Linked DNA regions of Oryzias latipes. The protein of the gene in region 1 interacts with the protein of each later gene in a pairwise test. Links are inferred from orthologs where the notes say so. Each region holds a gene or a part of one and is shown on either strand. Other genes may lie near its edges.

The links.
Region 2: the proteins of lemd3 (region 1) and smad9 interact in binary tests that used the Homo sapiens proteins (3 or more experiments, as listed by UniProt). The link is inferred for Oryzias latipes from reciprocal best matches to the Homo sapiens genes LEMD3 and SMAD9.

What each region holds. Positions count from the first base shown.
Region 1 is NC_019881.2:11,313,740-11,317,559, forward strand, and holds part of lemd3 (inner nuclear membrane protein Man1), read left to right. Parts: intron 1-1,914; coding exon 1,915-2,093; intron 2,094-3,716; coding exon 3,717-3,798; intron 3,799-3,820.
Region 2 is NC_019872.2:10,262,965-10,267,418, reverse strand, and holds the start of smad9 (mothers against decapentaplegic homolog 9), read left to right. Parts: upstream 1-1,618; 5' UTR 1,619-2,024; intron 2,025-2,827; exon of another isoform or gene 2,828-2,853; 5' UTR 2,854-3,009; intron 3,010-3,863; 5' UTR 3,864-4,197; coding exon 4,198-4,393; intron 4,394-4,454. UniProt on the Homo sapiens protein: Transcriptional modulator activated by BMP (bone morphogenetic proteins) type 1 receptor kinase. SMAD9 is a receptor-regulated SMAD (R-SMAD).

The DNA.
Region 1 (3,820 bases):
TCAGAAATTGATCACCGCACGCCCCAAACAGAAGTTCCGGTCACATATCTTAAATCTTTTATATGACTGCCAGCTTCTTTAAAACAACCTTTAGCTTCATCATCTGGACAAAAAAAAGCGGCAAGAGGTGAACTTTCTCTCTGAACTGATGCTTTATTTAACCCATCGGGACGATCAGCATATATATATTTATCGCTTTATATCGCCAAATCTCGACCGCAGCGGTGGTGCAACGCCATGTCACATTACCGTGACAACGCGTCGCACCACATAACAAACAGTTCGCTTTTCTGGAAAAAAAGCGATACAAATCGAAAAAAAGAACAAGAATTACGGACTTAAAAACTGGATAATATTTATTTCTTTTGTAAGTCACCATGGTATAAGCGGGTTAATGGCCGACCAAGTGTGCATTATCATTTTTTAACGCACTTCGCGGAAGGGGAGGACGGTTCAGGCTTCAACGCCGTGAGTTAAAAAGTGATAATGCACACGTCGTCGGCCATTAACCCTTACATAAACTGCTTTTGCATTAACAGTAGCTCTGTGTTCTTACTGGAGCGTGGAGCTTATGATATCAGAAAAGGGATTTGATCAGATCAAACTTCCCAATTCTACCCGGCAACCAAGTTATTTATGGAACTTTAAGCATTTTTTATCCGCACACTCACGTCTGCCACTTCCATCACAGTCGCCTGTTTTAGCTACACAGTTAAGAATTCAGGTAGAAATTTTGGTGCAACTACTTGGAATGTTTGTTTTGTTTTTGGACATCGCTTTAAGATTTTTAAAGTATGTTTAACAAAATTAATATTTGAAGCAGAATCTGCAGCATTTGAAGCCTTGTTTACATCAGACAGCTGGTTATCATATCAACATGAAGACACGCTGCCGAGGTTGACGTCATGAAACGGGCGGCACCCACAAGGAGGGAAGGGCGGAGCCTCAGAGATCGAGTCGTCTTATTTTCATTTAGGAAAATGACCTGCAAAAACAACTCCCTTCATTAAAAAAAATATTCTTTAGAATCCCAAAGGTAATATCATATATATGGATACAGTTTACTCCCAAAGGCTTAAGACTAGCATCATATAGACCCTTTAATCTTAATTTTTTATATATATCTATATCTAGATATAGATATGTTCTCCATTATCAGACAAATGCAACAAAAATATGTAAAACACACCAAAAACAAAAATGGATTTTTAAACAGCTGGTGGGAATTTCTCTCCTTTAGTAAAATGATTCTTGATGCTTGTGCAGAACAAAGCATGAGGTCTGAACATTCAGGTTCTGCAGCTGCAAAGCTGAAGGTTTTGTACAGAGAGCCTTTGACGTCTCCTTCCATCTGCACAGAAACTGTGTTCAGCTGCAGTTCCTCCACTCACTTTCCTTCCATAGTTACCCTCCTGGATAATCAAGCCGTTGCAGCTTTTACTGTGAACTTTATCGATTTGGAATAAGTTGTTGCAGCTTTGTTGTTGTTGTTGTTGTCTGTCCTGCCTGCACCTCCTCCAGGAGCTGCAGATCCTTCAGTTGCCGGGGGTTTAAACTGCAGGCACGAGGCATCATGGGGTTCCCGTGTGTCTGAAGCACAGTAATCTGGATTTAAATCCAATCAAATCCGTCTTCTCCAGGAAAATCCTGCAGTTTTTTTAAAGATACATATATCGGTTTTCCTTAAAAGTGAAAGGTTGTTTGTTTTTCTATCAAAACTAGGGATAAATCTATTTCTATTCCTACGATCCAAGCAGATCGGTCTGTCCAAGGCAGAATCGAATCGACCTATACTACTTTAAAATAAAAAAACCTCTCTAACATCCTCCTTGCTGTTTGTCTAGGTGACTGTCACACGCTGAACAGGGAATGATGGGCTCATGTTTATGTGTGTGATTTGCAACTGAATTACAGGAAGAAGATGAAGAAGATTTGGGGGCGGGCCGTCTGCTTTCTGTCAGCCAACGAGTCCAGAATCCGAACAGAGACGCAGAGGATTGGAGGGGCCGACTTCCTGGTCTGGAGGTGGATTCAACCCTCCCTGTCTTGTGACAAAGCCAACCCCATGCCCTCCAAGGTCTGGCAGGGACAAGGTAATCCATGTCCTGGGGCCCTACCCAGCCCCACCCACTCCTGACCCCCCCTTACTGGCTGTATGCACCTCATTGCCCCTGCCGCCCCGGTCAGAGCTCCAACTGAAAAATTCATTTAGAAAAATAGCAGCTTTTCTGTTGGTTTTGTCTCCATAGCAACCGTATCATTTTTTCAAACAGATCAATGTCAAATTTCGTAGAAGAATTTTTGAATCTCCTTGGCAACAGAAGTTTTTTGTAAACTGCTCTCACTTTCCTAATATGTCCACATCGTATTGTCTATTGTTTTGTTTAGCTTGAGCCAACGATTCATGTTTTACATTTTCACGATATTCCAGTTAAAGATTTGCTACCGGCATGGAAACGCCACATTTGTAAGCTCGCCACGCCAAAGCTGCTCAAAATCTACAAACTTTAAACAAACAATAGTTTCCCATGATGCTCGAGGAGTTAGATGGTGAAAGATTAAAATACTTAGGTATATAAATTTGCTGCTGCTGCTATAGGTGATTTATTTATTTTTAACTCTAGGTGGCAGCTTTATCCAAGGTGAAAGGTCAACAAAACTTTGGTTGTGGTTGTAGTATCACCCTGATGGCGTCTATGTGAGATTTCGTGAAGATTACTCGAACAAAAGTCTTTTTCTCACTATGTGAGAGAATGGGGAAAGTCGTCAAATTTTACACTCTGCCAAAAAAACGGCCTCTGAGCTGTAGGTCCTGTGACCATCCCATAATAATCTCTAAACCTTGGATTTCTCTAAAGTATGCTCACACAAGCAGCGTCAACTCGCGTTCAGGCGACCACCTTTAAATAAAAAGTCTATGCATTTGTTCATAGACCAGAATTTCGTCCGGAACGTCTGTGATCGCGCGTTGCTGCACACGTTTTTAAGTCCCGCCACGGCCTCTGCGTACAGAACGGTGTTCATTGATAGTGCGCTGAAAGTTCAACCGGTTGAACTTCTTCCCGCTGAATCGCATCACTGTGACCAATCGGGGACTCGGATTTGATAGTGACGTGTAGGTCGAGTCTTTTTTTTAGACCAGGGAGGTAGCCTAGCAACCGTTGTAAAGATGAAGGAGAAACGAATATTTGCTTTTTGTGTCCGGCCGGAAGAATATGACACCAAGATGAACATTTATAGAAACGGAGCTGAGAAAACAAAAAGCCAGGAGCGACATTTGCCCCCACTTTGACTTTTCACATCAAGTTTCATCCCACTGCAGGTGACAGATAAGCAGACCAGAGCTAGTAGAAAAAATGTGTGTCAGGTGTGAACACCACCGGCTTACACCAGGTACTAGGTGTTTGCTGATTTTGGTGAGTTTTTGGCGGGCGCAAATTTTTGCTCAAAGGCACAGAATTAGAAGAGAATTGTGAAAACAATTCAGTCCAGGACTGCTGATGGACAGATTGAATAACTGCTCAGTTTGCCAAAGAAGCTCCATGAATGTATTATTGGGGTTTTTTCCTGAACGTGGTCACAGTGTTCCCAGTCTGCTCTCTGCAGCGCTGGCAGGTAGGAGGCGTCTATGCGCCGTCCTGGCTGACGCAGAGACCTTCTGCCTGGTGCTGATGCCATCGTCCAGGAGGATCTTCACTCTTTTTGCCTGTTCCCAGCTTTCCCTCTGGACCGGAGGAATTCCCCCCCCAACAGCCTGACTCCGTGTCTGAAGATCAGGAACATGTTTGACCCAGTCATGTGAGTATCCGTCGGCTTTAGC
Region 2 (4,454 bases), on another chromosome or scaffold:
TAGCACTTCCAATAACGGCTTGTATCCATCCGCGGTGACAAAGAACTTTGCATGGTAACAATGCAGTTTATTTAAAGTAAAGGTGTAAGATATTTATGAAGCAATAGCTGAAAATATGATTTAAAAAACAACACAGTTGTATTTTATAAAGTCAAACATCTTGAAAGATGTTTTGATTGAATACTGGTGATTTTAAATTAGGATTATATATCAATTGAGGGGAACGTATATAAAGCTCTCGGTTAGTTTTCTCACTTTCCACTGTTGAATGGTGACGTAAAGAAAGTAAAAATTTTCTATTTGGATGCTAATATTGTTGCGTGCAAAAACTGTTTATCTAAGAATTTAAATGTTTATCCCATCAGACAAAACAACAACGCGACTTTATATGATAAAAAGTAACGTTATGAAAAGCCAGATAGTAATAAAACAGACGTTCCGTCATCCCATGCCTCAACACTGAATGAATGAAAGTCTGGGCGTGACACAGGTGAAACGCGGGAAAGCGCGCGCTGCTGCACGCGCAGAAGGCGCTACAACTAAAATCCCAGAAAACCTGGGAATGTTCCAGCATAGAGAGGGCGGAGGGATCTGGCAAACAAGCGCTGAGGTTCCAGTCAGACTGACGCCTCCAAGGCTGCGCGGCGCTCCACTGTGGCTGCTGAAGGAGGGGAGCCGGAGCTCTTCAAACCTGCGTCAAAGGCGCCATGGACAGTCACACCGGAAGCGACGAAAACTCGACCTTCATAATAAAAAGCAAAATTCACAACTTCCGTTACAGTATGTAAACACTTTATTATACCAAAAATAATTTTTGGGGGTGTGTGGGTTTTCTCAGGGGACTCCGGCTTCCTCCCACCGTCCAAAAACATGCTTCATAGGTTAATTGGTCACTCCAAATTGTCCATAGGTGTGAACGTGAGTGTGCATGGGTGTGTGTGTGTGTGACCCTGCGACAGACTGGCGACCTGTCCAGGGTGTCCCCTACCTTTGCCCATAAGTGGCCGGGATAGGCTCCAGCAGCCCCGTGACCATGAAAGGGACAAACGGAAGAAAATGAATGAATTAATAATTTTTGCGAGAATCGATTTGAGCATTTTGTGACATACGTGTTCTTTAACACTGAAACTTGAGTCACAGTTTAAGATTTTTTTTAAATTAATAAACTTCCACTCCATTCTGTGTAACTGTTTTAATATTCATTCATTCAATCAATCAATCAATCAATCAATCAATCAATCAATCAATCAATCAATCAATCAAGACAAAACAAATCTTGGCACCACTGTCAGGACAGCTGTTTAACTAGATTATATTTCATAGTTACATTTTTTGTTTGTTAGTGTAATTATAATAGCTCAAACAACAACAGTAATAAAAACAACAGATAATGACAGTAAATATCACAGGAATACAATAAATACTATTTTATAATAATAACATGTATCATATTTTAATACAATTTGAACAAAACAGCAAATATTAAAATTAAAAACAAAAAAGAAAATATATATTCTCATGAAAAAAAAGACGTCTGAAGTCATGTGGGCCATAAATTAAATGAACAAAGAGTACGTCTAGTAAGACGGTTTTTTAAATTGATTTTGTTGAATTCATTCTTATAGATAAGGCAAAAATAATTTTAACAATTAGGGTTTTTATGGTTAGTAAATAAGCTGACTGTAGTGCACATTTTAAAAGTTGGTAAAACTAGTTTTTAAACATTTTTACGTAGTTGTCTATTGTTGTATAGTTGTCTAAGGTGTAGTGAGAATTATCACACAAAAAAGCAATCTTTTCTCATCATTAAAAACGTATCTACGTTGGCTCAAGAACGAAAGCCACATGCTTTTATTCTGAAAGGAAGGATTTCAAACAATTTCCCGTTGACGCTGTCTTTACACTCCCGCGTGGACAGACAGACACAACACACTCGAGGCAGACGCGCACTTCCACAACTCTGACTTGACGGGGAAGCTGCCACACTCACGACCTTCTTCTGTGCACTTGTTATCACAACAGAGGTGAGGAAACAAACCGTCTTCCTATTTGCAGAGGGAAATAGTTTATGTATCTTGTTATAAAGTAGTATTTTGAACTTTTTGTCATCTGAACTTTGATTTTATTTTGGGAATTTGCGCAAGATGTTCCTATCAGGTAGTGCTTATAAGTAAGTGGGGGAAATTGAAACGAAATATTGCAATTAAAAAAATTACCTTAGTATAGCAATGAACAGAAGTTGGCTTTAAAAAAACTGCAATTTTTAAAAGTCAGGGGGAAAAAAGTTAGTAAAATCAACAATTGATGGTGATCGCACATTTTTAAACCAAATGTGTGTTTACTTTATTTATTTATTTATTTTTTAGCAGAATCTGGATTTGACTGCGGGGGGAAATAACCGCATGGAGTGATAGTAAAAGGAAGCCTGGTGTTTACTTTTTTGGGAAGGGGTGCACTAGCGATAAAGCATTAGGTAATTAGTCTATCTGAGGCTGCAGACTCGCTGACGCCAGGGTTCCATAAAGCAGCAGCAGCGATGGACTGATCCTGCACTGAGCTGGGGCGCTTTTGCTGTCATTGTAAAAACTTCAGCTGTCTGTCTGCAGTGGACAGGCCAGTGGTGGCCGCATTGTGCCGGTGCTTTCATGAAGTCATGTTACCTGTCATCATTTTAGACTCACCTGAGACATTTCTGCAGCGCTTCAATGAAAAACGTGCTCAGACATGCAGTCAAAATTTGCATCTAAAAATCATGTGCAAATGCTCAAAACCAGATATTGTTTAACCACTGAAGATACAGAGATTCATTGGGGGTCTGCTGCTCCAGCACCCCTCCATTTGTGTCATTTCCAGGACGGCTGAAATGCAAAGACACAAGCAGAAGTCTCCCTCCCGGTTTCCCTCTCCCCCTCCTGTCCTGTGATGTGTTCTGGCCAGACAGAATGGCTCCTGGGCGTCAGTGGCATGATCACAGAAACAGAGGCCAGAAAGGACGTTCCCCCATCAGCGGTGAATCTAGAAATGAGTTTTGGCCACGTTGGTCTGCTTTTTTTCTGGAATTATTCTCTGGAGTGTTTTTTTTTTTTACTCCATACAGACCTTTGCCATTGTGTAGTTTGTGGAAGAGCAGTTTGAAGTGTTACCACACCGAGAAAGCCTCATGATTATGGAAATCCATGTTTTTGCACATTTTTTATAAAGCCACTTACAACAGGTTAAAGACCCACCACACACTTGGTGTTTTGAACATGTTCTTGTAGCATTTTCCTGATGATGGAGGACATATATGAAGAAAAATAAGCTTAAAATTGAATTTCTGAGTATTTCTTTTTTCAAATCATTATGTATCAGGAATAAACAAAGAAATGCAGTTGGGAAAAGAGTGTATTTGTTTGGTGGAAAATATGCATCCTCTTGTAGACGACTAGATTAATTCACGTCTTCGTTTTCCTCGTCTGAGCTGGGATCCGGATCAGAACTGAATGACTCCAGTATTGTTCATTATTTTTGTTGCACCAGTGATGTTAGCTTAGGGTTGTGAGTCGCTGTAAGATGGCGGGAGAGCATGTGAACAGATGGATGATGGGAAGTAGGGGCGGGGTGACTTCATTCCAACGGTCCCACCCACAACTCAGAGGTGAATTTCTAATGAACTGCCGCTCTGCAGAAACTATGTCAAACAACACAGTTTTTTTTTTGGCTAAAAATGACATAATTAAAATTGGGTACGCTTTGAAAATAGATAAAAAGGTTACCGGAGTTGGACTTGAAGCTCCTGCTGCACTCATCTTCTCTGTGGTACCTGACCGTCCTACACCTCCTCACTCCAGTACGTTGATGCAGTCTCTCCTGTCTCTCCTCAGATGATTGAAACTTGACCTGGGCTTCTGGCTCTGTGAGGAATAACCTTCCCAGCAGGAGGCTCAATCCAGAGCCGCCAGATCCCTTTTGTGCCGGCACAGAGACAGGATTGGGAGCTGGCTGGAGTCCAGCGTCTTCACTGAAAGCTGCTTGGAAAAAAAGCAGAGGAATACAAACAAAAACATCTGCCCTGACTCAGCACGTCAGCTCTTTTAATCTTGCCTCCATTTTTTGTTGTTGTTTTTTACGTTGTGGTCGATAAATTCCTGTCCTCGAGGGAACTCTAATCCAACTTGACCTATCAGTTCATCTCCCCGACTGTGCTTCGCCCTCAAAATGAACTCCTCCACGTCCTTTACGTCCCTGTTCTCCTTCACCAGCCCGGCAGTGAAACGGCTGCTTGGCTGGAAGCAAGGCGACGAGGAGGAGAAGTGGGCCGAAAAGGCTGTCGATTCTCTTGTTAAGAAACTCAAGAAGAAGAAAGGAGCGATGGAGGAGCTGGAGAGAGCCCTGAGCTGTCCCGGGCAGCCCAGTGAGTGTCACAGACCTGCAGCGATGACAGTCAATGTGCTGGAGACATTACAAAAACACAC